Linked DNA regions of Drosophila melanogaster. The protein of the gene in region 2 interacts with the protein of the main gene of each other region in a pairwise test. Each region holds a gene or a part of one and is shown on either strand. Other genes may lie near its edges. The genes, in order: Fib, Lmx1a and Cyp312a1.

Evidence for each region.
Region 1: the proteins of Lmx1a (region 2) and Fib interact in a two-hybrid assay, tested with the Drosophila melanogaster proteins (one large-scale study listed by BioGRID).
Region 3: the proteins of Lmx1a (region 2) and Cyp312a1 interact in a two-hybrid assay, tested with the Drosophila melanogaster proteins (one large-scale study listed by BioGRID).

The regions. Positions count from the first base shown.
Region 1 is NT_033778.4:23,068,336-23,076,620, reverse strand, and holds Fib (fibrillarin), read left to right. Parts: upstream 1-1,895; 5' UTR 1,896-2,026; coding exon 2,027-2,039; intron 2,040-2,157; coding exon 2,158-2,597; intron 2,598-2,652; exon of another isoform or gene 2,653-2,792; intron 2,793-2,978; coding exon 2,979-3,560; 3' UTR 3,561-3,712; downstream 3,713-8,285. Other genes in the region: CG3085 (uncharacterized protein), read right to left, coding at 1-601, 659-1,090, 1,155-1,366; l(2)k09913 (lethal (2) k09913), read right to left, coding at 5,066-5,656, 5,733-6,014. UniProt on the Drosophila melanogaster protein: S-adenosyl-L-methionine-dependent methyltransferase that has the ability to methylate both RNAs and proteins. Involved in pre-rRNA processing.
Region 2 is NT_037436.4:12,325,016-12,336,691, reverse strand, and holds Lmx1a (LIM homeobox transcription factor 1 alpha), read right to left. Parts: upstream 7,461-11,676; 5' UTR 7,223-7,460; coding exon 6,439-7,222; intron 2,486-6,438; coding exon 1,607-2,485; intron 1,533-1,606; coding exon 1,273-1,532; 3' UTR 791-1,272; downstream 1-790.
Region 3 is NT_037436.4:18,126,539-18,136,851, forward strand, and holds Cyp312a1 (cytochrome P450 312a1), read right to left. Parts: upstream 6,152-10,313; 5' UTR 5,529-6,151; coding exon 4,900-5,528; intron 4,593-4,899; coding exon 4,033-4,592; intron 3,973-4,032; coding exon 3,629-3,972; 3' UTR 2,402-3,628; downstream 1-2,401. UniProt on the Drosophila melanogaster protein: May be involved in the metabolism of insect hormones and in the breakdown of synthetic insecticides.

The DNA.
Region 1 (8,285 bases), on a different chromosome or scaffold from region 2:
CTGCGAGGCGTTGGCCACCTTGGAGCCGAACTCGCCGCCCCGGAGACGCATGCGCAAGTCCAGGGCCCTGATGTCCGTCATCAGCGAGTGCTGCTTGTTCTCCAGATCCACGTCGATTCGCTTGCCGTGCTCCTCCAGCAGACTAAAGTTGGTCTTGCTCTCGTCGATCTTGACCTGCAGTCGGCGTCGTATCTCTCGCAGCTTCTCCACCTCCAAGCAGAGCATGTCGTGCGCCTGGTCCATGCACAGTTCCATGCCCGACCTCTGGGCACGATTCTCCAGGCGTGTCTCGGCCAGCTTCAGTGCATCCGTCTTGTCACGCAGCGCATTCTCCGAGGTGCGGATCTCGCACATGGCCTTCTCCATCTCCTCCTTCATCTTGAGCTGCTGCCACTCCAGTTCGTTTCTGGCCCGCTGCGTCTCGAAGATCCGTTTGCGGATGGTGTGCTCCGCCCGCTCCTGCTGCGACTGCAGCATGTTGCGCGCCTTTTCGCGGCACACGAACAAAGCCTCCCGAATGGCGTACGTGTCGGCCAGCTCATTCTCCGCCAGCAGCTTTATGTTCTTCACGTTCTCCAGCCAGGACTCGTAGGAACAGGAGCTAAGTGATTGGTTAGTTATCCTACTGAGCTACTGGGACATTCCATGTGTGACTTACTTCTTGGGATTTCTCGTGGGATCCGGCTTGTATGAGATATTGGCCGAGTTGCGATCGAGCGCCAGCTGTGAGTTGTCCAGCTGCACCGCCTCCACCTTGAACTCGATCTCCAGGCCGATCTTGAAGCGCACTTCCTCCAGACGATTGAGCTTCTCCCACGCCTTCTGGCATCGATCGGCCAGCAGGCGCTGGTTGTTCTCCAGCACGACCAGTTCGTTCTTGATCTCGGTGTCGGCCTCATCGTAGGTGATCTCCGATCCGAGGCGACCGTCCCTTATGGTCAGGCACTCGGCTATCACGGAAATCGGACCTGCCAACGCCTCCAGCTCCCGTTCCGTGGCATTCTTCTCCTCCTGCAGCATGAATATCTCGCGCTCGATCTTCTCGAAGGACTTGGAAATGATATCCCGCCAGCGATTCAACTCGGAGATGCTGATGTATAAATTACAGATTATTAATCGTGCTGTTAATCTTAATATAAGATATGGACACTCACCGATCGGTCAGAGCCTCATTTGTCTCGTAGTTGGCCCAGTCGCCCTCGATCCGCGTCTCGTTCCTCAAGGATCGGGATGAGTGGCGGATGGCGAAGGCGTCCGACCTCCGGGCATCCGCCACATTCCGCATCTGGTTCACACGGGCATACCAGTCCGTCAGCGAAATGTGCTGGAGCGGCTTCTCCATCGTAACCACCGAGCGGAAGGCCATTATGTTTGCAAAAGTTTAGGTAAAACAGCAGGATTTATGCGTTAACAATTTCAGAAAGTGTGTGCTCCCAACTAGAACTCTCAAAGCGGAATGGAACGTTTTTCTCAAACATCGATTTCAAGTGGCTGTTTGTTTGGTCAACGAACACTAGATCTCCAAGGCACTGGGGTCATTGTCAAGGACTACGGGATTGTAATTATTAATCATATACTTCCATAGTTACATGCATCAAATAAGTAAAATATAATAATGTAGTGGCTCATAAAAATTAAATTAATTTAATAAATCAATCAATAATTTAATTGATCAATCAATTTTTGAATTGAATACAAAAAAAAAAGAATTACATTATTTGCAAGATATCCAAGAATAAAATGTACAGTTTTTCAACCTTTGTACCACTATGCACAATTGCCTCTCCGCCTGGTGTTGAACTTAGCTACAGTCCCAGCCAAGTTTCCCACCTAACACACACACTAACATCATTCTCTTGGTATTTTCGCCTTTGTACTTCTGTATATTATCACTAAAATCACTGCTGCGGCCACACTCCGGCACACACGTGTTTTTCTTTTCAAGCGTTTTGGTTGCCGCGTGTTGACGGACTCAATCACATTTCGTCGAAAGTTGTATTAAAAAGTGCAAGTACAGCAACATAAAATGGGCAAACCAGGTGCGTAAAATCACGCTCTAACGATACAAATCGAAGCAGGCGTCGCCTTTGCTTTTGATAGTCTCCAACTTAACCTCTGAGTCAACCGAAATTCAAATGCGGATCTTTTCTATTGCAGGATTCAGTCCACGCGGTGGTGGCGGCGGCGGCGGAGGAGGAGGAGGTGGATTCCGTGGGCGTGGTGGCGGCGGCGGCGGAGGAGGCGGTGGATTTGGAGGCGGCCGTGGACGCGGTGGCGGCGGCGATCGCGGTGGCCGTGGAGGATTCGGTGGTGGCCGTGGAGGAGGTGGTCGCGGTGGTGGTGGCGGCGGCGGCCGTGGTGCCTTCGGAGGACGTGGCGGCGGCGGTGGTCGCGGTGGCGGCGGCCGTGGAGGCGGTGGTCGCGGCGGAGGAGGACGTGGTGGTGGTGCTGGCGGCTTCAAGGGCGGCAAGACCGTCACCATCGAGCCGCATCGTCACGAGGGAGTGTTCATTGCGCGCGGCAAGGAGGACGCTCTGGTCACCAGGAACTTTGTACCTGGATCCGAAGTCTACGGCGAGAAGCGCATCTCCGTTGAGGTTTGTTGTTCTCATCTTTATTCACTTACCTTCCCTATTCCTAGCTTATGATGAGGTTGTGCAGGGGTACAGAACATGGCATCATGTGGCCATGAGCATCCTTGGCGGTCACCTGTGGCTGTGTGCACTTCAGGTGCACGTGAAGCAGTCGCGGAGCTCCAAGGGCTGCTTAGAATAATGCACAACTGAGGCGAATTCCTATCTATCTACCCTTCTATCCCAAAACAAACAGAACCCAAACAAGTCCACCATCTTGAAAAGTGATTTGAAGCTACCTGAACAATCCAAACAACTCTGTATTTCACTCAACTTACTTACTTCTTGCTTTCTGCTATAATTTTTAAGAAAGAGCAATGGATTTAAATCTGTTCTTCTTTGCAGACCAATGGCGAGAAGATTGAGTACCGCGTGTGGAATCCCTTCCGCTCCAAGCTGGCTGCCGCCGTTCTGGGTGGCGTCGAGCAGATTCACATGCCGCCGGGCTCGAAGGTTCTCTACCTGGGCGCCGCCTCCGGAACGACAGTCTCGCATGTGTCCGATGTGGTGGGACCCGAGGGCCTGGTCTACGCCGTGGAGTTCTCACACCGATCCGGTCGCGATCTGATCAACGTGGCCAAGAAGCGCACCAACATCATACCCATCATCGAGGACGCTCGCCATCCACACAAGTACCGCATGCTGGTGGGCATGGTGGACACCATCTTCGCCGACGTTGCCCAGCCGGATCAGGGCCGCATTGTGGCGCTGAATGCCCAGCACTTCCTGAAGAACGGCGGACACTTTGTCATCTCGATCAAGGCCTCCTGCATCGACTCGACGGCGCAGCCCGAAGCGGTATTCGCTGCCGAGGTGAAGAAGATGCAGGCGGACAAGCTGAAGCCCCAAGAGCAGCTCACGCTGGAGCCCTACGAGCGAGACCACGCCGTTGTCGTTGGCGTCTACCGACCACCGCCCAAGCAGTAAGAAGTCGTTTTCTGCTGGGTTTAGTTTTAAGGCTATTGTACTAATACAGACGAGTTGTATTAAGTTTCTTTTAAATATAAAACCGTAGTTATAAAGATAAATCAAAATGCACATTATTTTTGTAGCAGACGTACAAAATATACACAAAAACCAAATGCCAGTGTAACAATATGGAGTTCCTATGAAAGATGAAGATCTTTAAAGTCAATCTTTGTACAAACGTGGTTTTTCTGAGGGGTATTGCGGAAAATGGTTGGGCAAGGCTGGTATACACTAGTTTGTTTTCATCTTCATCACAGAAAGTATAATGCTTAACAATGAAATGTCAAAGAAATATTAAGGTCAGCTATTAGTACCCTCTGCAAATTCACAATAAATAAAAAATAAAAAAAGTTCTGCGCTGCGGACAGGATTCGAACCTGCGCGGGTAGAACCCAATGGATTTCAAGTCCATCTCCTTAACCACTCGGACACCGCAACTGTGTCGCCCCGGTGGCAAAGTTCCTATTTGGTATGAAGCATAGATTTCAGCACCCCCCTCACCTATCTTCGCCAGGTATGACGCACCATTTATACAGACACGAACCAAGAACTATTCACGGGGTGGTGTCTCGGCTTAAGCCATTCTTAATGAAAATTGGAGTTTCGTTCACGTGGGGCTAATGAATCCATAAAGATTATTAGCTTAATACATAAATAAATAAAATAATGTAGCAATACATTATTTTTTAGTTCGCTCTCACTTAAGCTAATAGTTTACATATAGAAGTATGAGCACATGTCATGAAGAGCAGCTATCAATTAAACTAAAACTTGTGGTATTGAAGAAATTGAACTGCATATTTCTGCATTCAAATATCTAGTGATTTACTGTCATCGCTTTGCAGAAATTCAGATGCTTATCAGCATAGAATTATGCAGGGAGAGATATCAGTGACAAATGGAGCGGACTTCAATAAGGCTGCGGTGTCCGAGTGGTTAAGGAGATGGACTTGAAATCCATTGGGTTCTACCCGCACAGGTTCAAGTCCTGTCCGCAGCGATAGTGTAGTTGTAACACGTTTTTTTTTTGTCGAACCAATTTTAACCCGAGATATTTTTTCAGACCTTTTAAGAATCTTTCATCGCATATATCTTGTGAAAATACTTGTTTAACCAGCACATACTTGATTGAAACACTCATTTAATGTGTTCGTATCATTTAAATTACTTTATTTAGCTGTTTTGCAGCGATCTCAAAATATATGTAACAATATAGAGGCGTAGTGCATTCTTCTCTCGGTTGATGAAATACGACTTTAAGCTTAGCCTAGGAATTTCCCGTGCGGGCTTTTGAAGATTCTGCCTCGCGAGAGACACACAGATCATAATCATTCAAAGAGGACATTGGTTTTACATTGCTCGTTAATCTTTAGGTCTTAGCAACTAGGGTAAAATCATAATCGCATTGATTCTTGAATAAATGTATATCACTGAACTGATCAGCCGCTCCTCGTTAGAGACACCTACAACTTGGCGCGCTTCGGCACGCCGATGGCCTCCAAGACACCGCAGGTCTCCAGATGCTGGAACAGCGTCTGCAGGTACTCCTCGCGATGCCGTATATAGTGGGCGGCGTGCTGGGACCGCTCCCAGCACTTGAAGGTAACCTTGATGTTCGCACGCTCCCAGTCCTCGCGAACGGACTGGTTGGAGGACGGCGGACCGATGGGATCGTTGTCGGACACGAAGAACAGCGCCGGGGCCTTGAGCAGCGTGGAGTGGAACATCTGGCTGGAGCGCATGTAGTGGATGGTGGCCTGGTTGTGGAATGTCTTCAGGTGGTACAGCGTATAGTTGCGCAGGGCGCTCTGCATTCGCTCGTTCCTCGGGAAGATCGACTTGGGCACGCCCACCGGGATCTCGGTGATGTCGGCGGCGCTGTCCCACACCTGGCACACGAAGCGGTCCAGAATGCTACCATAGCGATCCATGTCGCGCGACATCTGCAGCATGATCTCGCCCAGCTGGTAGGCGCCCACGGAGAAGCCATGCATCACAATGGGTTCGTACGACTTGTTGTTCTCCAGGAATCGAATAGTCTCGGCGGCCACCACCTGGTCAGCAGGAAATGGATGCATTAGTGTTTGAATGACTCAACTTGGAATGTAAACTTTGAAGGGCGGCTATTACCTGGGATCCTTTGACCGGCCAGAGTAGCTGCCACGGCGTAATGTGCACCACCACCACATCGAATCCCATCTCAGTGTAGATCTGGGCATACTTCTTCAGATGCTTCTGCTTGGCCATCAGCCAGGCCATCATGAGAACCAGTGGGTTGCCAGTGGGCTTCTTGAAGGCCAGCGTCTTGGGATCCACCTCAACTTGGGTCTTGGTGCTGGTGTACAGGGTCATGTTCTTGGTAATATCCTGCGAGGATAAGTACCGGCGATTGTTCGACGGCGCCATGGCACTCTGAGTTCGGGAGAAACGGGCTATTAGTCATGTTCGGGCACAGCTGATGCGGGATGGTTAGTGCGTTGGGTGGGTAAAATGAAACTTTAGAAACAACAAACAAGTTGGAGTGCAAGGCATACGTTTAGAATTCAATAACTAAGCAAATATGCATACGATTTCGATTCTCTCCGCTCTTCAAATGTGCGACCAAGCGATTACACCTAGGCTATTCCATGAACTAATCGCCCTGCGAACCAAAGTTTGGATAGGTCCAGTCACTAACTGAGCAGCTAACTGATAAGATATGAAAGCTTAAGTGGTTAATATGGTCCGATCGGCTGCAGATTAGCGGGGGCACCCAAATCCATGCAAATTAGGGGGAATACTTATATTAAGTATTTTAGCACTGATTTATCCTCGGCAACAGCTGCTGACCTTGAAACTCGCTCAACACGTTACAATCATGAACAGCTGTTTGTGATAAGATAAGCCCAGGTGTGTGTGCATTTGGTTATTTCATGGAATCATGTTACCGCGATTGATATTCAATTACTACGATCACTTTTCGAACTCTCAAACACTGTGATTTATAAGGAAATCAAAAGACTAGACTATTTTCATACCGTTTTCAGTGGCGAGTTATCAGAAGTTGCTTGTAGCAAGCACGAAGGCAAGTGACCAAATGAAGGAGGTGCAAAGGTTTTAGGTTCTTTTCCCCCATTTCAGCAAGGCTAAGCCGACTGATAGCATTATAAGTTCGAAGATAGCCCCGCAAAGTCTGACGATAAGCAGTTGCAATTTAGATTAGTGAAACATTATTGTGACCTAACAGTTTCCGCACTATTGAGTTAAATGAGGCTCATTATAATTGAGACAAATCGTGACTTAATGCTGGAGCACACTTTCACTTTGGCTTGACACTTTGAACTTGACCGACGACCCCAAATTGTATGGCCACTCACACGTTTCGCCCGATGATAGATCTTCAGCAGTATAATTGCCAATATGACCAGTAATGTTATTTCAATTAGGAAGTCCATATCGAAGATAAAACTAAGCAGGTGCAACGACTTTGACCGACTGACTGATCCACATTATATAGCATATAGTCCAGCGATCCAGTGGAACGATCACGGATAGTTGAGCGGAATTGAGGCGAGCTTACATTCCCAATCCCCATGGAAGGTACATAGTTATTTCAGCTGATGTGTGTGTGTGTATAGGGAGGAATATGTTTTTTCTACTCTTTGCGGCATTGGTTTAAATTACATTGCGGCACTGGAAGCCTCAGTCCCATTTGCGAAAGGTGAACTCTTAGTCTCGACTAAAAGATACCATGTGAAATTTAACTTAACAGGATTCTTTTTATATTAAGCAGTATTCTGCCCTAATTTGTTGATAGCTAACACTAACCTTTATAGATGAGTGTATAGTGACTATCTTTGAATCCGAAATACCCAGACTTAAGTTTTAACTTGGGTATCAACTTGCCGCCTAAAAATAAACACAGAACACGAACATTTGGCGGATCGAGCGAAAGCTTGGCATTGGGGCGCCATTATGATTTGAATCGTGAAAAAAGCTGTGCCCCAGCTCAATTGAGCTTGCTGAATGCGAGGGTGGATCCAGAAGTGTGCCCCAGGATAAGGGCAGTAGTTCAATGGAACTGGAATATTGATGACATAAATTAATAATATCGTTAATTGTATGGTTAGTTCAAGCGGTTAATGAGCCTTCACTAATTGCAAAACAACGATTAGAATATGTGCATATGTTTACAAATATATACAAAGTAAGCTAAGCTTATCTGTACAAATCACCATTGCAGAGGAAGCGAGGTTGGGAGAGATTGGAAACCGAAATCATTTGCCGGGTACAAAGTGCAGGGACTACAGTTTACTCAAGCATGCAAATTTCCAAAGTCACCAACTATAAAGTGCTTAAAATGAAGAAGCGAATTGGAGGTAATTAAAGGTTCAACCGCAGATCAACAACAGATGTTCAATACAAGCTGCTCTACAGCTCATTAGCGTATACCCTGCAATTTATGGCTCATCCACGTATGATATCTGATCTATGCATCGAAGCTATTGTCATTTTTTTTAAGCTTTTTAAGCTGTAAAACTATTTTCTAATGCTAACTACGTTGACCGCGTCATGGACAACTACATTTAATCTTAGGCGGTTCAGGTTTATCTTATCCTTTTGTAAAGTACATATATATTTTCATAACTACTTGCGTCGTGGAGATAATTTTGCTTTAGAATAAGTAACTAAAGAAATAATGTC
Region 2 (11,676 bases):
ACGAACGCGTTGTTTTTTTTTAGAGATGTGCACTGTAAAAATAAAAAACTATCGATCGCTGTTTTAAAAAATACATATCGATACATTTCATGTGTGATTGTGAGTAACGATATTCTATTAACATTTGGCTTATAAATATTACTTTCATAAAATTTGATCAAAAATTAATGTATATTAAATCTTTAAACTGTGTGGCTTAAAAGGAATTAAGCAGTAGCTGAGCTGCCATCTGTTAATTATTTCTATCCATGTGGCAACGCTTTGTCGTCGCTATTGGTCGAGTTTCATAAAAGCCAGCTTTGTACGGGCAGCATTTTGGCGGGCAAAAAAATATGGTTTTTAAATAATATATTTCGGTCAATTTATGAAGCTTTACTAAGGCATTCATAGTATTCACAAAAAAAAGGTGTATATATTCGCAGTCGAGTAAATACAGTAAACGCAATAAGTTTTCTTTTTAGTTATTGTGCTCTTTATTTATTATCAAGCATCAACGCATCTTAAATGGATTTTTCGATAATACGGCAAATAAAAAATTTAAAATAAATTAGGCTGTGTAAATAAATACGAAATAAATAAATAAATATTCTTACAATTATATAAAAAAAAAATTAATTTTTTAAAATAAGAGACGATATTACCGATAAAAGACGAAGGATAAAAAATAAGAAATAAAGGAAAATCATGCGAAATAAAAATATTAACAATCGCAAGTCAATCCCAACCCATTTAAAATATTGAACGCATCCGTTAATTCGAAGATAAGATCCACAGACATTTGCAAGAATTCGGTTAAGATGTATATTTTAGGGGAACAGATTAAATTGCACTTGCTAATACAATTATTGACTTTTAAATTACATTTAATAACAATTTTCTCGGGTGGTTAAAACTATTTACAAACATAAGAGGGCGCATTGACCACTTTGCCATTTCTCAAGGAGTTATACATTTTTTTTTTTGGTTTGCCTCTAGAGTCTATACCAACAAAAAGATGTGCTGCCCGCCCCGTTTTTCTGCGCCTTCAAATCGCCAAGAATCTTAAAATTTCAATTAGCTTAAAAAAATCACATTTGATGTATCTTGTATCCGGTTCTACGACTCCAACTTAATGCGCCGAATGCGGAAGGTGCCAACTACGCGCTACGTTTTAAAGTAACAGCAAGGACCTCGCGTCCCTTTTCCATCGGATCCTGCCACTCTAACGCTAATAAATTCGTCTCTATCCCACGATCGCCTCGGTGCTTCCCTGTCATTCCAGCCAATGGCCATCTAATGCTCCGAGCTGAAGTACGAGTTCTGCATGAGATACAGCTTGTCGATGGGGTTTATCAGGCTGTTGTTCAGGTTGGCCAGCATGTCGTGGGGATTCGAGTGGGAGTGCGAGTGCTGGTTGCCCGACGAGCTGGTGGACTGCAGCTCCAGGTTGTTCAGCGACAGCGAGTCCGCATCGTCATCCAACTGGTCAAAGTTGCTCCCATCCAGCGAGAGGTCCGAGCTGCAGAAGCTGTCATTCGAGTTGGCCGGATAGTCTGTTGAAAAGCAAGCCATTAGTACTTGTAGAATAATGCTTGGACGAAATCAAACTTCAAATCGAACCACTTACCATCCGGTGAGAAGGGCAAATTGGGATTCAGCGGCTGGCTGGCGAAAGTGCTGTCCAATCCACCCAAATAACCGGAGCTATCTCCTCCGAGCTCCTGCTTGACGCACTTGTCCTCCTTGTCATTGGTGTCCTTATCGTCGGTGGCGCTGGAATTGCCCGTGCCACGCCCACTGCCCGATCCTCCGCCGGAGCCACCATTCTGCTTGGCCTTGCGCTGAATCTTCTTCATCTTGGCGCGCTGATTTTGGAACCACACCTGCACTACACGAACCGATAGGCCGGTGTCCTTGGCCAGGGCTTCGCGCACTTTGCGACATGGTTTGGGTGACTGATCGAAGGAGGCCTTAAACTGTTTGCGCTGCTGCGATGTGAGGATGGTGCGTGGTCGTTTCGGACCTCTCCTTCCATCCCGTGGCCTCAGCAAATCCTCCTCGTCCAGGCCAACGAACCCACAGTGCTGAGCAGCAGCGGCTGCCAGAAACATCTCCTTCTCCAGATCGTGACGATAGCAGAAGAGCTGGCCATCGCGCAGCATGAACTGCTCGCCCTTCTGGAGCGGCAATCGGCAGGCGTAGCAAACGAAGCAGGGCAGGTGGAAGACAAAGTTCGGTATGGGTCGCATTACCAGCTCCTGCGGCAGGATCGCATGGCAGCAGGAGGAGCACTTCACACCGAACAGCCGGTCGTAGTCCATCTTGCAATAGAGTTTCGAGTTGCGCACGTAGCAGGTGTGGTGCAGCTGCATTCCGCAGTAGCAGCAGGCCAGGCACTGCTCGTGCCAGTTGGCATCGCCCACGTTCATCAGGAATCGGTCATGGATCTTCTGGCCACAGCCCTCGCACAGCTCGAAGTTCTTCTCGCACTTGATGTGGCCCACTTCTGGGGATGAAACAAGCAAAGATGGGGGAAAAAAGTCGCGTTAGTAAGTCGCAGAATACATTTCAAGTAACTAATACACTGAGGTTTAAAATATAATAAATATATCTATCTACATTAATAATCAATTTAATCGAATATTTAACCCATACTTGGAAAATATATATGAAACATTTTCTTGAGAACAGAAATATTTCAAAGAAGAATCCTAATACTTTAGTAATTTTGTTCCAGTGTAACTCCGCTTATTCGCCCTACTGTGATGGGCGTACGTGGCGTATACGTGATGGCGGCACATGTCGCTGCGAAATTATCATGACATGTGCTGCCAATGGAGCAAGGAGCGCGCTGACAATCGAATCGTGTGAAAATGCTTCAACGTCTCTCTTGTTTTTCCGTTCGCTGTTTCGCACTTTCGATGGAAAAACAGAAGGAAAACTCTTCGCTGGAAAAAATTATCTGTCGTCGGACTGCAACAGCTTGTATTGAAAGCTTATTGATGCGTAATTGAAACGTAAAGTTTTCCGTATTTGTTCGGTATTATTGAACAGCCCCCCATCTCGATTATCAATGTATATAAACATGCCAGAAAATGGCTCAATTGATATTGTATATACCACCGAACTTAAGCCAAAGCTTAACTCCTAAACAAAGTCCCTTAAAAAATGCTAATCTCCCATTGAGGAGCTACTGGATTTCAGCTCGCCTTACCCAAAGTAGAACGAACCTAATCCTCCCGTAGACGGAGCTCTTGAAACTGTAAACCAGTCATAAAAAGTAGTACCCGAAAAACACAACAAAAGCTGCATGCAGTAAACATAAAAAATATATGACGACCGCCACGAAAAATGTATGGAAGCATTTGAAAAATGAGCAGCGAGTTGGGAAAGTGCGGAGGGAAAGTGGAGAAAAAGTGCGGAGGGAAACTGGCAATGGAAGTGGAGTGTTATATTATATGGCTGTGGCTCAGTGGCAGAAAAATGTGCATGATTTATGGTTGGCACAATGGCCTCCCCACACACACAAACGCACACAGTCGCCATATCTACGCGAATGTGGCTGTATGGGTGATATATAGTCTGGGAATAGGGACGAAAATCCCTATGTAAGGGGGCGCTAAGCCAGTGCAGCGGAAAGTTGACAATGTCCTCGGGCATTTTCCTATTTTCCTTTTTTTTCTGTTTTTTGGCTTGCATTTCATCCTATTGTGCAGTATCCATATCCAATCGCATTGGCGATAAAGGTTTTTGCATGGGCCGAGCAAAAAATCAAGAATGATTCATTTGATAAACCCCAGAGGGGAGCTGCGTTTTGAGTTTGGCCTCATGTTTTTGTAGAGCTTTGAGCATCGATATTGTGACGGGATTTCGTTTGTGTAATCTAATCGAAATTTATGGCATTTTACTGCAGTTTTATGTATGCTTTTTTTCCGATTTCTCTGTATTGTTTTGGCCAACAAAGGACTCTGCATTGAGTGAGTGTGTGTTTTTGGGCTTGAATGGTAAAGCCTGGGCGAAACTTGTCCAAAAATCAACAAACAACAAGCGCAAACAGTCGGAACAAGTGCGGCACACTCATGTCAAATACATAGATTAAACAGCAGATAAATCCAAAATCAACTCGACGATAAACATAGAACTAATAGAGAAAAGTGTCCTCGTCGTTATCGCCGATAAAGGGGCTTATCTGCCCGAACGCCCCACGATTGTCGCACTATATGGTGCATTTATTGACACATTGACAGCGGGGCGGGGTTATATGGAGATAAATCGGCAGACAGCACCCAACTTCTGGCACTAATTCGGCCACTAACTGGAGTCCAGTCCACGTGCCACGCGGATTTTGGCAGCAGTTCATCGTTGACAGGCAGCTCATAATTCGACAGCTTTCATTTCGACTGACAAACAAACAGGGTCTTTAAAACTCTTCGTTGCTATCTACACCATGGAAATGGTATTAATCATAATATAAAATAATGAATAAAATAGGATGAACTTCAAAAACTACTCTTTTAAAATGTAAGATACAGATTTAATCAAATTACAAATAGGGATTGCAAAATATATTGACTTTTGCATTCTAAACTCAAATGTAGTACTCTTTGTGAGTTCCAGTGGATTTTCCGTATAGTTCTTGAATAGCAGTTTTGTTTCAGTGTAGCTGGATCTCAACGGAAAGTGACACAGAACTATGCGTATGGCGCATACTTCCGCCACACAAATGCACACCTACTGGCGATTGGGTGGGTGGGGTTTGTGGGTAGGACAGGAAGACGAAGCTGGAGCCACCGCAGAAGCCAAATATGTATGCTGATACGCTCGGTGGAATACCTGACACTGAGTGTGCTCATTTCCGTGGTCTGCCCCCGAGTGCACACCACCCCCAATGGCAGCCCATTCGAAATTCCTCGACCTCTGCAAAGTGTGGGCCACCGATAGTAGTTTAGCAGCCGGCATCCAAGTGTTTGCCGAGGAAAATGGAGCTTAGGATGAGAGGCGGGGAGTGGTGTGTGGATTGGGGTAGTGGCACGGAACGAGCGGAAACGGAAACTATTTGCTGCCATTTGGGCAATGGCAAATGGCAAATAGCAAATGGCAGAATGCGAGCATTAATAGAAATTTCATAGGCAAATGCAAAGTTGGCCGGCAAGAGAGCACAGCTATTGTGGGCGATTGAGTGGGCGGATGAGGGGCACTAAAAAACCGAAAACACAATCCACTTAGCCTCGGACGAGGTCTGGTCTGCATATGCATCACACACATTGTTTGCACACTTTGCATTTCGGAGGGAAATTCGCAAAAGTTTTCCCCAGCAACACTTTCGTTGCAACTCAGCTGAAAAGTGTTGCCTATTTTGAGGCTGTCATGCATGCGAGTGTGTGTGTATGTGTGCCTGCATGCCAAAGCATCAGTGTGTGTGTGTGTGTGTGTGTGGGAGGGAGGCAGTGTGTGGCATGCTTTAATAGCCTTTTATTGGTCGAGCCACGCCTCTTTTTGGCCGTGCCGGGCGGATGTCAGACAGGTTCATTGTCAAAATTATTTTGTGGTCAACTTGCGTTCATACTTTTGGAAATACTTTCGCCATGCTTGCCGCACATCCGCCCACTGAACTATCCACAACATGTGTGCGCCATCACAACTACAAATTCATAATTTATTGTCCTCTGTCAATATATATGTACGTGTTAGCCGGAAATTGTGCATTTGCTTTTGCCTGTTTTTACATAAGTGGACAATCTGCCTCTGGCTATTTCACTTGCTAAAAAGTAAATCCAACTCTTTGAAAGCTGAGTTGCAATTAAGTTCCAAGTTAAACATGGATTTATGCTAATATTGATACAATAATAATTAACAAAACCTATGATATATCTAACCAAATTGACTTTACTTGCATTCTGCAAACTAAAAGCAAACTAGTAACAAATAAGAACATTCTTATTTAATGTTTTTTAAATTATTATTTACTTTTGATTTTAGGCTAATTAATATGAAGAATACTTTTCTCTTATATTATTTTAATGTTATGAATATATACGCTAATTTTTACTGCAATCAATAAATGCTGAAATATTCCGCTTAAAGAAAAGTTTCAGGAGTAAACACCTTTTGAAATAAGCACTTCAACTTTATTCGCAAGAAAAAACAACGAATATCTATATATTTTCCCCTAGAGAAGCATTCCTTGGGCCCCAAAAAGCCGAGCACATCGCACGCAAACTGCCGGCATACTCAGGTGTGGGTGGTTGTACACAATCTGGAGCCTCGTCCGACCAGCTTGGAACTCACGCAGCGCAGCACCGAACCTGGACACGGATACGGATGCTGATGCGGATACAGAAACGGACCCGCAGGCCGGGCACACGCAAGTATGCCAAAAACGAAAAGCGTGAAAACCCCAGAAGAGGAACGAGCCGGTAAATTGCTCGACTGCCGGTGCAAAATACTTTTGGAACATACCTGTGCGTCCGCTGCAATCGGCAGACAATTTGGATGCCGCTGCTGCCGATGCCGTTGCTGCACCACCTCCATTCCCATTTCCATTCCCGTTTCCATTGCCATTGCCATTTCCGTTTCCGTTGCCACTGCCATTTGCATTTCCGCTTCCTGTGGCCGCTGGGCCCGTCGATGTGGGTGTCGTCGCAGCGGCAGCCGCCGCAGCAGCAGCAGCAATCGCCGCAGCAACTGCTCCGCCTAATTGCGAGGTGGCTACTGAGGTGCCTGCTGGCGATGGAGCTGCCACAGCAGCGGCAGAGGCAGCGGCAACAGCAGCAGCTGTTAATGTGTTGCAGGCTGAGTGGAGGTTGTTGCTGCTGCTGCCCCCGTTGTTGTTGTTGTTGTTATTGTTGTGGTTGCTGTTGCTGCTGCTGCTGCTGAGGGGGCTGTGTCCTGTGGGCGTGGGGCAGCTGTTAATTGGCACTGGCGTGGTCGAGGCAGCGTGTTGCTGCTGGTGTTGCTGATGTTGCTGGTGGGGGTGTTGCTGCTGCTGCTGATGTTGCTGCTGCTGGTGCTGCTGATGCTGCCCCGTTAATGAAGCCGTTGCCGTGGGACTATTGTTGCCGGAAATGCTTGTTGGCAGATTGTTGTTGCTATTGCTAAGATGCAGGGAGTTGCCGCTGCTGGCAGTCATGCTGCCGGGATTTGGATTGTCCAGGAATCGCGCGCCGCCATGATTCTGCTGCAGCGAGTACAAACTGCCACCGACTGGATTCAGATTCGTGGGCATTGGGTAGAACTCCAGCATCGTATACGAGTTGCCACAAAACACCGCTGTTACTTTTTTAGTTTCGAGTCTACGAAAATGTCACATGCAACACCGCACAAGGAACACGCGACACACAAACAAGACGCTCGATTGCTTTTGCTTTAACTTTAACTACGCTTCTGTTCAGTTTCGTTTAGAATATGATTTCGGTGGCCTATTCTTGCGCTGCCGAATGCGAGGACAACCAGCCGCGTTCGCTGTCAGTTGGCGTGTGATCGAACCATCAGCGAAATCAAAGCATTTCACTTTGCCCTCACAAAAAAAAAAAAAAATCCCAGCTGAAACGTACCCCCGCGCACTGCGCCTGCGCCTGTTTACAAAAGCAACGGAGCGACGGAGCAACGGAGCTGCGGAGCAACAACTGCCGCTTGGCCTGCGGCAACAACAGCAGCTCTTCGTGTTGCACGTGATGCCAGGGGTTGTATCGGTGCAAGGGTTGCAGCAACCCCCTCTCTGCCCCGGCAGTGCGCATGTCTCAAGTGATTATTAGCAGCGAGGGAAATTCTGGCAGAGAGCAAGTCCCTCGCAAATCGCTGGCCACACCTCAGCCTCGCTGCGATTGGCTGGCCATTTCCCCGGCGTCCATTTTGCCGCACGGCGCATGTGCGCAGGGGAAGTGCGGGTTTTCTTTTCTTTTGTTTTTTTTTATATTTGGTTTTCTCATATTCGTAGATGTCTTGGCTTTAATGCAAGACCAAGTCGGCTTGTGGGCGGCCATCGGTGGGCGTGCGGCAGCTGCATGTTGCTGGTTGTTGCTGGTGTTGCTGCCGCTGCTGCTGCTGCTGATGGGGCACAAAGACATACTTGCACTTGCACTCGCGGCAACTTTGGCGAGTTTGCCGCTCGACGGCGACAATTTCCTTGAGTTGTTGCTGCTGCTGCTGTTGGCTCTTTGAGTGGCACGACTGGACCAGAATGCCAGCAACAACAAAGGCAACAAACACAGCAGTGGCAGCAGTAGAGGCAGAAAAAAACAATGGCCTTGTCTTCTTTTACGCTTTTTTGCACTTGCATTTTACTTTTTGCGGGTGAAAAAAGTTGGCGATAAACAAGATGGGAACGGGTGCTTCTCAATACATTGGGCAGGTTATTTAAGGACCTAATGTCTCACAACAAAAGTTTTTTGAAATTCTTAAAGGATTCTTAAAATTTAAATGAACTAGTTTTGAATTCTGGATAATGATTTCCATACATTTTATTCCATTAATGTTATTATGTCTACTGTAAAAGTGAAGATTAAGTCTGTGACTATAGTATTATTAAAGAACTTAGTAAAACTGAAGTATAATCTCTTTATAATTGATTCAAGACATTATTTATTGTAGTTACTCAAAGAGAAAAGATGTTTATTTATTTCTTTTCAAAATCAATCTTTTTTAAGCAGTTTTCAAAGTTGTAAGACTTCATAAAAATAAGTTTCTTTTATGAAATTACATTTATAGAATTCTTATTCCGATAATATCTTTAAATTAAATAAAAGTTGCTTTTAAGCAAGATTTAAGATTTATTAAGTTTTCAATGCTCATACCCCTCTAATTTCCAGCGATTTAAAGCGGAAGTGGCAATGTCACCCTGTATGAGCATCAAAAGCCCACCGACAACTGGGAGGCAGCCCCATTTCCGGCGCCCCCAAAGAGGCCGAAACCCAACTATCCGCCCCCGCAAACACGCACACACTGAAGCACAGATACTATCACCGAGGATGAGAAAGGATGAAGGAAAAGAGAAACCCGAGCGGCAAGAAGAAAAGCGGAAGCTGGAAAGACAAACCAAACATGGTGCTGTGCATAAAAGTTTGGCGCTACTTCTGGAGTCGAAGCTCGAATTCTTGGCCCCCTTTTGGGCCACCACACCATCGCCTGGCAGTAACTTGATGTTTGGGCCTCGGCTTAAGACTAGGCTTTGGCTCAGCGGGCTGCCGACCGGCGTGGAAGTTGTGAACCAAGGAGTCGCCTACGCTGGATATGTGCTCCGTAGCTTAGCATGGATACCTGGGGAAGCAGACGCAGGGGGAGCAGCCGTTGGTTGCCAGTTGGCCAAGTGGGAGACTTTTCACCAAACTTGTTGGCATCGAGCAGCGGCACTTGTACAAGGAATCGGCATTGCTTGCTGCTTTTTCGCCCTGTTTTTCCCGCTTTCCAGTCGCTTCGGTTCACTTCACCTCTGTGGATTGTTGTTGCTGCCAGTTTGTGCAACTTTGAAAACTTTATTTACCGAATTCAACTGGCACAAAGGCCACCGAAGCAGCAGCAGCAGCAGCAGCAGCAATGTGCGCACTTGCTGCGGAATTATAACAAAGGCGGCGAAAAGTATCTGCTTCTGCTGCTGCACGAATTTCCCTCAATCTGAAGGGAATGCTTTCCGTTTCGTATCCACAAAACAAAGTCGCTGCCAAGTGTGCGCTGAATTTAAAGTAATTATTAGAAGTTTAGGAGGGCAGCTAACGAGATCTGAATCCCAATCGTTGGCATCAAACGGTAGCAAGGAAATAGGGGAAAAACAAAGTCGTTGGAAAAGAAATATTAAAGGTTAATATGATCCAATAAATTCGAAAACCTTTAAACAAAAAATAAATATGCCAAATTTAAAATTGCTATCCAATTATTAAGGCAATTAATACAATAAGGTACAATAGGTAATTCTCTATGATAACGTAAAATGTCATCAGAGAACGCCATCCACCGATAGGCAAATAAAACATTTACGGCCATTTCACGGCAATCACTCAATTGTATTCGTCCAAAGTCCAACAGTCCGAACTGACTGACTTTATGACGGCAATAGACCAAAAATTCGGAGGCGTGTGCATAATTAATCCTTGGCAGTAAAAGCCATTGGAACGGGGGATCGCTTGGAGATAAGGTTAATGGCCAGGGCCATCCCACCACTAGTATCCTGGCCACTGCTGTGACGAAATTATGGTTTACTGGTGCCCCCCCAATAAAGATAGTCACGAGTAGTTGGCTTATATATGTATATGCCCTGCCATATCAACTAGATGGCAACAGGGAAAACGAGGCTAAGCGAAAATTCAATTAACCTTGACAACTGGCAAACTGGCGACTGTGCGCCAAGCCAAATACAAAACCCAAAACCTAAAACCCATCCACTAATCGTCATAATAATGATGACAACATTATGCACTCGATAAGTTCGAAGTCGGCTGACAAAAACGACAATGGCAAAAAGTGGAAATTGTCATAAAACTCGACGGCAAACAGGATTTCCAACTGGGGATGATGATATCAGGGCACTGGAAACAAATTTAATAAAACATCCGAAAACAAATGGCAAAGGGTAGTAATGCTCCTCGGGTTGCTTTTATTTTGGGTTTGAGTTGGCATTTAGATTCTGATTCGGGTTTGGGTTCAATGCATCCATTGTGTGCATGTACCGCTCACCTCTCCCCCTGCCTACTGCTCCTTTTATCAATGGCAAACGAGTGAGTTATATTGAATAACCACAAGAACAACAGCAACAACATCGAGGAGAGCACGCTCGGAAGCCTCAGGATAAATAGTTCTTCTATGGCCCTTCAATTACCATTTGAGCATGATAAGCGCTAAAGAGGCACAGACATTGGCATTGGAAAGTGGTAAGTGGTAAGTGGTAAGTGGCCGTGCGGCAAGAAAGAAAATCCAGCCGAAGGAACCGCACAAGACTCCTTGAAAATATGCCTTAGGACCTCTAGGCAGGCAGGACCACCATCCCAGCAGCAGAGGCAGCATGGGTTAGGAGTTCGGGATAGGGGTCATTAGATGGAAACATTTACTCTAACTCAACAGCTCGACTATTGGCGTCCAGTCAAGGGGAAAGCGCCCAGATGGAGCGGGTGGTGTCATTGTTTGTTTTGGCAAGGCTCGCCACTCGGAGTTTGGGTAGGTTCCGCAGGACCTAGGCATATTCATTGGCATCCCAGCCAAGAGAAGAACATCTCGGCAGCTGCTCAACAGACACTAAGATGCTGCGCAAACTGTCAACACTACACGCGCCTACTACACGCAGCGAAAATATTGCGATGACTTGAATTCAATTTGAATCTGGGGATTCATAGGGTACTTAATAGATTTAAAGCACATTTTATAAGCAGGAAGATGAGGCATAAAATACAATTTAGTTTGTTTTAAAAATACCATACTATTTATTTAATGTGTATCCACTCCCTCCACCGAATATGAAGTGTGTAAACAATGGGTCTGAGATATGCTGCACTGCACCCGCCACGAGAAAGGAGTCCTGGGCGATGGAGGAGAGGGAGAGAGCGCGCAGAGGACACGCAGCGGGATCGACCCTGAAGTGGGCTAATTTGACGGTGCCCCGCGTGGCAAATGCAACCCCAACAATGGGTTGTCTAGTGTCCAGGCCGAAGGAAAAGTGTTAAAGGATTTATGCGCGTAATTTTGCAGATGTTTAGATTTCGCTCTCAACTCGCT
Region 3 (10,313 bases), 5.8 Mb from region 2:
ATTTTCTTACCCCTTTCTAGGCGAGCCATTACCATTCTTTCTCTACCCAATTTCCTTACTAATTTCTTGCTTTGTGCATTTACTTGCAGACTGGTTAATTACATTAGCAAAACGGTTGCGATTCTGCTTTGCATTTTGCGAATTCCCTTTCGGAAATTCGCTGGAAAGGTAAAACTTTCTTTAGCATTGTTTATAAGCTTTAAGGGACCACTTTTGCAATTGGCATACAAATAAATCAAAAATATTCAAAATAGATTTCTTTAGCGGTGAAAGATACTTAACAAAAAATCACTTTAAAGTAACAAAATCTCCAGCTTGAGACAATTTAATGGTCTTGAATTTTATTGTAACTTTATTACATGTAATAAATGTATGATGATTACATGATGTAAGTGGATGCGGAAAATTGTAACACGTGATTCAATTTCGTTGATCAATTTTAATTGATTGCTTCAATTGGTTTCTGTGCAAAAGCCTCCTCCACCTCCTCATCCCCGCCCAATTGCAATGCCATCCAGATTTTTATGTTCATAGCCACTTTATGTGTAGCTTTTCCATTCGGTTTTGTCCGTTGTAGTGTTTTATTTGGCCGATTTTTATGCGTTTTTAATGTGTAGCACAGCTACTCCTTTTATTTCTTTCCCTTTTTTTTCGCAACTCGCTTGTAATTCGATTCGTAAATGTATTCCGACGCATTTTTATGCATTTCCACAGTAAGTTTATAGCGGTATTGTTCGCATATGGGCGTTTGGGAGCCGCCCCCTTTTTCACGTCGTAAAGTTTTGCGATTTAATGCGTATCGGTGAGCGGCCTTAAAGTATGCCACACTAATTAGCATATGAGCTGCGGCCAAGTTGGCCGCAAACTTGCAGCTTATCGCAAATATGCATTCTCAAACCCCGGATGCGATCCAGAAGCAAATGGGCACCATCCATTAGCCATTAGCCGTGGGGCCGTCGTAAACCTAGGACAATATTGACATAATCGACTTTCAGCAGCCGACCGGCGACACAATTTAACCACAAATGAGGCTTAGCCGTAGGGCAATGTCACCGGGACCGATTACTTCAAAGTCGCCCACCCACCCATCTTATCGAAAACCACATCCCCCCACATGAAACCCCAAGCCCCATCACACATCACTTGGCCATAGCTCACCTCAAACGACCACAATTCGGAGGGTTTAATCTGTTTTCTCATTTTGGGGCGCCGACTGGTTTACTTAACTTGAAACAATGAGAATTGTGAATTAACCGGAAAGCGGCAAGCAAAACCACATGTGGCCGTAATAGCCACTTTCGTCTTGACGACAAATGAATTTTGTTTGTAAAAAAAATTTGTTGTTAATTGGTAACAGTATTTCGAAGTAGCCTTGATTCTCGACAGTTTAGTAAGTCAATAAAATCAATACATTTTTGCACTTATTTATAAAAATATAATGAATAATTTCATTGATATTAGATAATACCTGAAATACCTGAAATTTTGCGAAATACATCCACAGATTATTGCATTCATTTCCAAGTCAGTCCAAAATAAAATGTGTAATGCAAAACAACCCCAGACTTCCCGAATTCATTATAATTAAGAACCCTCGCCTTGGGCCTTTTTGATCATTAAACATTGACGATGCCCACGCCGTGAATTATGCTCCATCATAAACTTATGCCCGATGTACAGATGCTGGGCATAAAAATTGTGTAAATGAAAACTGCGCCCAGTCAGCAGCAATAAAACATCAAGTCAAGTCTGGACCGGGATTAGGATTCGGACCTGGATTCCATATCGCTTTAATGGGCGGCGACACGACGAGAAAGCCACCGTGAAGATCTGCGAATTAAGATAGATAAAAATATGAGACAGCTGACACTAAAAAGGAGAGACACCACCAAGTACTCATCATAATTAATGCCGCTGGGGTTGGGTCGCCATAAAAGCCGGCAAGGATTCATATGGATAATTAAGTTATGGCGGGTGCCAACAGAAGGGTTAAAGCCTCCCTCCGCGATTGCATAACCAATAAAACGATCGTAAAATGTTGGCCAAGCACTCAAAGTTTTTGGGAACATGTTCCTTAGGCGCATATTTTAATTTCAAGATGGATTTTAAACGGGCCTAAGGTGGTGGGGGTGGTCATAAAATTTCAACTGGGCGTCATCAAATGCACTCATTTTTTTAAGTTACAAAATTTATTTCGTTAAAACGAAAAACGAAAGTTACCGGGTTCAAAATTAAAATCCGGTTTAGCGGGAAAATTATTTAAATTATGTTAAGAATAAAAATTTGTTCACCTTTTTATTTTGTCGTTTGACCAGACATTTATTTCGCATATTGATTATTTAACTTAAGACAACTTATATTTAACACATTTTAATACATTGTTTGTTGTATGTTTAGAAATAAAATTTTCTTGGCATTTTGAAAATATTCTTTAATTACAGTATTATTTCTACCAACTACTGGTGTAACTCTTCAAAACCTTTAAGCTATTTTCTCTGTTAAAAAATGGCTTGATATTTTGTTATGTATTTTTTATCATTGATTAAAATCGATTTGGAATGCTTGGAAATTGGCTGAAATCGTTTCCGTTCTCATGTACCGGCCATAATATGAGAATCAACCCACCCCCGAAACTCACACCACCAATCAGCCACTGAGTTCAACAGTCTTCTAACCCCTTCTGCTGGGGCTTCTGAATGCCAGAATCGTATCAGTTGGCAGATAGAACAAACTTTTATGCGCTTGTTAACAAAAGCGTGAAATTCAATGCCCGGGACGAGCTGAAGAGTATAAAAAAAAAAATAAAAGAAAAATTTACGACACTGCGAATTAAACTTGATTTTTATTTAAATAAATTGCATTTTATATTCCGCCTTATCCTGCGCCCCCGTGGCTGTCGCAATAATAAGCAGGCAACGCTCATAATTTGCACCGGAATTCGATGATGATGCTGGTGGATAATGGCGATTCGGCGGGAGTGGGAGTGTGTGTATTTTCCCCAGGATAAGGCAGGATGTGGCAGGATCAGGCAGACCGAGTGACTGACTGGCGACGGTTTGGTGGCTGCTTTATGCATTTTTATTTATTACAGCGCCAGGAAATGTTTGTTGATTTTCCGCTGCTCGGTTGCCACAATAAAAATCCACGCCAGCCAGAAATTATTTTCTAGACGAACGCGCCCTGCTTAAATCGCATAAAAATGAGCAGGCGAAAAAATACTTCAAATCGTATAGAATTCTTTTTTTAAACGAGTATATCATTAAAAACGGAAATGTTGTGCGTCGCAATGAAACGTAAACGCTTTGAAAGGATCCAAGTGAAACGAATTGATAGCGGTCTATTCTAAAAGCTTCATAATAAGTTTGAAGTTGAAAAGCCTTCGTAAATTAAACTTTCTTAAAAGAATCCCTGATAAAAATGCTTTAAAAAGAGTGTGCTATCTGTTTGATTGAATTAATTAAGGAGGCATAATTTACAGAAAGAATACCTGCAATCTTTGGGCCATGTAGAAGCAGCTTAACTGAAGGAAAAAAAATACACAAAAGACTAGAATAAGCGGAATGTACCTACAATAATACCTAACTTTATTGACAAACGTATTGGCTAAGTGAAAAACTTTTGGCTAGCCTCAATCTAGATTTTTAGCTCTACATAGATAGGGTTCAACGGTATGCAGCGTGATCACAAAGTTGAGCTTCAACTTCACCTGTCGCTCGCCAAGGGGCTCGAACAGGAAGTTCCTCAGCAGGTGAGCTAGCACCATTTTGAGCATGACCATCGCATACCGCTGGCCCATGCAACTCCGAGCCCCCGCCATAAAGGGTATAAAAGTGGTGGCCTCAATTTTGGGCTCCGCTCCAATTGCCCAGCGATCTGGCTTGAAGACCATCGGATCCGGAAAGAAGTCCTTGCAACGTCCCATGTAAATTGGTGAAATGATTACATCGCTACCCTTCGGTATGAAGAAGTCATCTAGAAAGTTTAAAATATTTGTATATATATAACTAGGAACAAATAACAATATGTACTTACTGATTGTGCAGTTGGCTGTGGCTTTTCTGGCAGTGAGTGGACCTGAAGGATACATCCGCAGAGTTTCCTTTATACACGCCTCCAGGAACTCCAGTTGGCGCACCTGCTCTATGGAGATGGGTTCACTTTTGTCCTTGCCGCATACCGACCACACCTCCTCGCGACATCGCTGCTGGTGCTCCGGATGAAGAGTCATGTTATACATGAAAAAGTTGAGGGTGGTGGCCGTGAGATCGAATCCCCCAAATATGATGGTGTCCACTTCCTCGCGAATATCCTTGACTGTCAAAGGCTTGCCATCGGGACCCTTGGACAGTAGCAAGGTGTCCAGAAAGCATAGGGTCCGCTTCACTCCGTCCAATTCCGCATCACTGCTCTGGTAGTTGCGATTCTCTGCATCCTGGTTGATTTCATCAATACGTTTCTGTATAATGCCCTCTGTGAATCCGTGAAGCGTTTTTATCAGCTCCTGTTCTCGCTTATAATGCGATGTGCGTTTGAAAATAAACGAGTTGCGGTAGAAGATGTTCTTCAGTCGCTTATCGATGATGACAAGGATTCTGTGAGCAAACGAAGATGTATAATATCAATATTAAAAACTAACGTAACCTGTAACTTGTATTTTTTCTATGGCTTCCAAGTAAGTAAATAAAAAAAAGGTCTGACTAATAAACAATTAAGCTATCTATAATGGGTTACGAAATTTTTATTGAACAAGCGTGCTGGATGAGTCTTTTATATCTTCTCAACTGTTTGTTTTGTTTAATTAATGTGCGAAAATTTTATGATTCATCACACCGTAGTTGCTGATTAAATACAAACTAAGTTGTCTCTAAGGGACTTGTAATACACGTGTAGTTTACTTACGATTTAACAGCATCGAGGTATTCCGACTTGGCGCTCGACTGCGAACCCACAGAGACTCCGAGGGCCGTTTCACAAATAGTGTCCAAAGTGAAGCAGCTGATCAGTTGCAGAAAGTCAATTTGATCCCCGGACTCGGCAAATTTAGCGACATTCGTCAAAAGAATCCTCGACTGCTTCTCAAAGACGGCAACAAACTGTTTGATCATGGTGTAGTTGAAGGCCGGCATTACGATCTTCCGGCGATGGGACCACTTCTCGAATCCACTGGTGAAGAGACCCTCGCAGAGCCAGTTCTCGAAGACCCTATAGTCGTTGGTCTTCTGCAGCAGCTGCTGGGCACTGCACAGAGCCTGTATATCCTTGGGATTGCAGTCCACGAGATAGAGCTTAGTGCCCATCCATAGTTTTGCTCGATGATCGTGTAGATGTTCGTTGATCATTTCGGTGGCTCGTCGAAGTGGATGCGGTCCCACCAATTTGGCTAGAATGTGCAGATGGCCAATGAATGGCAGGGCCGGTGGGGCTGGCCATTTGTGGGTGAGCCGGTCGATCCTGCTCTGCCGCTCGAAGACATATAGCAGGTATAGGGACAACGCGAGCAACAGCAATCCGAATCCCAGCCAGAACATTGCGACGGACGTTCTAAAGAGCAACTGCCTCGTTGAAGCGTCGCATCAAGCGTTTTAAGCGGAACACAGACGCGAAGATCAGACGGTTACTAAAGGGTCACCGGACCCAAGGGTCATAAAAGTTGGGTAACAAGCGAATTTACACAAGAAAAAACAAACCGAATCGGTGCACAGTGTATAAATTTAAAAAATAGTGTACAGCGACATATTTCTCACAAGCTGTCATTTACTATTCACAGTAAAATGTGATCATTCATTTGTTTTTTCAATTTGTAATATTATGCGCGGTCTAAATGATTAATTGTCACATAAAAGTGCCAAATAAAATTAGTTATCGATGTGCATTTTATGTCTTTTCTTTTAACACCATTCTATTTCAATTCATAAGCGAACCCGTCAAAAGGTGAATAGTATTTGAATAAAATCATTTGACTCTTATAATATTAGTCCATTCACAGTAGTATTGGATTTTTACATTAACATCTTCAAATAACCACTGTCTGGTGTTCTCTTTTTTTTTTTTTTTTTGAGTGCACAAACTAAACGATCTTAAATATTCTGCACTGGCTTAGTATTGCGCAAAAGCGCCGCGATTAAGAGCAACTGTCGGGTCGACTGCGTTATTAACACTGCGCATATTTATTTATACGAATTTCTTACACCCGAATATGTATATTATAAGCGTATTCAAATCGATGTGGAAGCGAAATTGAAGTGACTCTTTTTTGCTCGCCCCCCAGTCGCTTAAGTACTTAACATCGGGCATCGGAGATGTAAACAATACGTTGAGAATCGGTGAATCGTAGATTTCTAAGTCGGATTCGAAATGCTCTAGGATAGCATTGCTAAGTTCTTCAAATTTTCGCTATTATTTTGAAATTTCTATTATACATTTGCTACTTTTAACTTTAAAGTTATGATATAAGACACTAAAGTGTTCCAATTACTGCAGCCGTAGAAGAATACCTAATGAAATATATGATGATGAATATAGATGAAGTATGAGGATCATATAATCTTGTAATAGCAAATTGCAGCTAAGCCATTTTAGTATATTTTTCACGGTAACCAATTGTATAGCAAAACTTCAAGAAAACAAAAATACTTTTAGAATATATTGACTTTTGTTTCCATTGTAATAGTTGAGCTTTTAGAGTTCTTCTTTTTTACAACATCTAACTAAGTAGTAACATCCCTGAACTCAAGATTCGTCATGCCAAAATTCGCAAGCAAATACACTTCAATTTCATCGATGCTGCATCGTTTAATTTGCTGAATTATAATTTCGATTGTACTTTTGTCGGTTGCATACCAATTTCATAAAGCTCATAAAACTTGACGAATTATTGCGCTGGGGCCACCCATTTATGTGCATACGTGGAGAGAAATTGTGATTTCAATTTCCTAAAATGTTATAAACAAAGATAAGAGAATTTAGCTTACAGAAAGTACCTGATTTGGGAATAACGAAGTGGGCTGACCAGGATATTGATCAGTTTCCTACCACAAAAATTGTAATGAAGATAAATGCTTGGAAATATGCCAATAAAAAATACCACAACAAATACAGTTAACGAACATGAAGTGAATATTTATTGAATTAAAGTTTTGAATTGAAAAAAATTACAATTATCAGAGTCATCAGCTAAGAACAAACAAAACTGTACGAGTATAGCTGGCTTTAACTCCCCGCAATTAATGCGTAAACAGTGTGTCATATTTGTCAATTATATAATATCTGTTTTATTTTCATTATTACGCATAGAATACACATTCATTAAAATTCGCTCTACAGTTATGGGAACTTTATTGTGATTGTCATTTAATACACTCTTCAGGAGTTTGTGTTGTTGGTTTTCCTCTCGACCAACTGCCATTCAATTCAAATATACAAATAGTGACAGGTACAATAACTAAGGTAGTTCCCCTGCTCCACGATTACACTAATTAACACGAAAAAAGTTATCAGCCGACAAAATACACAATAAAAGAACAAGAGTAATTGTAATTAAAGCGAATGGGTCTGGGTTGCAATTAATATTCGCTGGTCAACATTTTATACAAAAATAATTCATCCTTCAATTCGCTACTTGTGTATATACATATCTCTGTGTTTCAGTTCCCTTCTCTTCCGGCGTTTCAGAAATTTTTATTTAAATAAGAGGACATTGAATGACATGCGTATGATTTTAATTAAAATTATTTTATTAGGCTCAGCTTTCAGATGTGTAATCACGATAGTGTGTATAACAAATGAGTAAACAAACTTGTATTACTATAAACTTATTAATAAAAAGTACGTTAAACCTAGTTTCAGCCAAGAAATAAATACTTATTTGAGTTCCTAATATTAAATAAACTGTGTTTATTTACTATTTAGTTAAGATGTGTGCAACATAAGAATGTTGCAAGTATTTTAGTTCTCATAAGAAAATGAAAAAATGTGCAGCATACCTTTAGGTTCATTAACGCAGTTATGTTGAAGTTATAAATAATTTATTTAAAATTTTATTACTGACATAAATACTTTAAAATTTAAAAAACATAGTTCTATTGCATTCGAATATTTCATGCCCCTTGCGCCTATATAAATTCAATTCAATGCCTCCGCATAATCGCGGATGCCACTCAATGCCACTAATCGGAACTAAATGGACAAAGCACGACAATAACCCTTTGAAGTCGAAGCGAAGCCCAACAATTGCGTTCGCGTAAATTCCTTATCTAATGGACGCCAATAAACAGTGATCCTCCCCTCCGCACGCGAACAGGACGCCTATGCCACATACAAGGACATAATGCAGTTATGCACCTGACAGGACCAAGAACATTGTCTCACATCGAAATTAAAAGTGATGCGTGGCCACGAAAGGAGGTGAGGCTCGAATAGGATGAGTCCAGCAAGGACTTGATATTGGGATAGGACTGTACCAAACTAATTTGAATTTATGCAGCAAAGTGTTGGCCATGCGATGAGTACTCTTTGCATTCCTATGTATTGTACTTGTATGGTCACAAGTCTTATAATATTATTTACTTCAAAACCCGGATCCAGTCATACTTAAATAGGAAATACAGAATCCACTTGGCTTATTCGATTTTAAATATGTATTTATTTTATTGAAGTTATAAGAGAGTTGCGGCTAGAGTATTTGACTATCGAGTGCTGGGTAACTCGATCTTCCCCTCGTCATTGTTGTTTGTGGCCATCGGTGTTCTGTAATTAAACTGCAAATTATCAGCCACGACACTCACACATGCCCTCGACCACTCAACTGAGGCATTCCCATCCACCCACCCACTTGCACCACATAATTATGCAGACATTTCCAAGTCGAGGACGAGGGAGCTGGAGATGGGCCAGGAGGCCGTGGAAGGGACCGCCCAGCTGTCACTTTGTGTTCTGCTTTTGTGTAAAATTTAATTTGGCTACATTTAATTATTGTTTATGTAAGGCTTGTCCATGTCGCTGTCGCTGCCATCCAATATTGTCATATTATAAACAACGATAATTTGCCAAATGCAAGGCGATTGGCTAATAGATATCTGCCAGTATCTCCATCTCTCAGCAAAGGTGAGCCGAGCAAAGCCCAAAGGGCAACCGCAAGTGGGCGAAGGATTACACCTTTAAAAATTTTAACTTTTGTTAATAAATAGAGAAAGTATCATAAATACATTTAAGCGCAGCGAATAATACTACAAGGAATTGTGCTTTTTTTATACATATAGAAGACAAATAATTTATGTGTATTTGTATGTATGTTTCTTACAATTTTTCTGTCTTCTTTGGGTTCTAAGTACGTTTAATTTCTTTGCAAAATGCCACCAAAATAATTGCATTTAAAAAGTTTTTACAGTGCAGAATTCAAGCACTAATCGCATGTTGTGTCAACATTAATCGCATCAAATTTAATTTCACAATTAAATGCAAAGACGCGACGCGTTTAGCATAAATTAGGCGGGCTGTAAATGGAAGCCGCGGGCGGTGTCTTTCACTTCGTCGCCTCCTGCTCCTGCGGTCTGTGTTCATTTTTTCGTGGCGTTTGAGGCGGTTTCAGCTCAAAGCGCCCATCCTGAGGAAGTTAAAAACGAGACTCGACGGCTGCTTCCGTTTCCGTTTCTCTGACAGGGTTTGGGATCTTCAATCGGTTGGTGTTACGTGCGTATTTATTGCTTCAAATTAATTTAATTGACAGCCCAATCTAAGGCTTCATTAAGCTCGGGGAATTAAATGTCTTTCATTAGCGAATGTTGATTCAATTAAATCACTCTGGCTCTTCAAAGTCATTAAAATAGTATACATATATAACAATACATAAGCCTTGAAATCAAATTGTTGTCTTTAGTAATCAATAGGTTTTAAATTTGTCTAATTGCATGCATATTTATTATTTTACAATGACTATTACTCTTTAAACAATTCCTAGGATGACAATTTCGACTTTGTATGTATTGTACCATATGGCCGTGAGAGCTAGTTATAAATAAATACGAAATTGAAGTCTCCAAACCATAAGCAGATCGATTCAATCAACTTTCATAAAAGCTATTGTTGTATCTTTATTGTCAGTAGTGAACCAGATTTGAGTTGAGCTCTAATAGGAACAAGTCTCAATATGTTCCTATTCAAAAATATGTGACAGGTTTAACTAGGTTAACTAGGTTAAAGAACTCAAAATATGCGTGTAATCCCCAACTCGTATTTTAAAAATAAAATAACCAAAATTGCATATGGTAACACAACAATTTTTTATTTTTAAGTTGCACAAGCATGTTCTCAGAAGA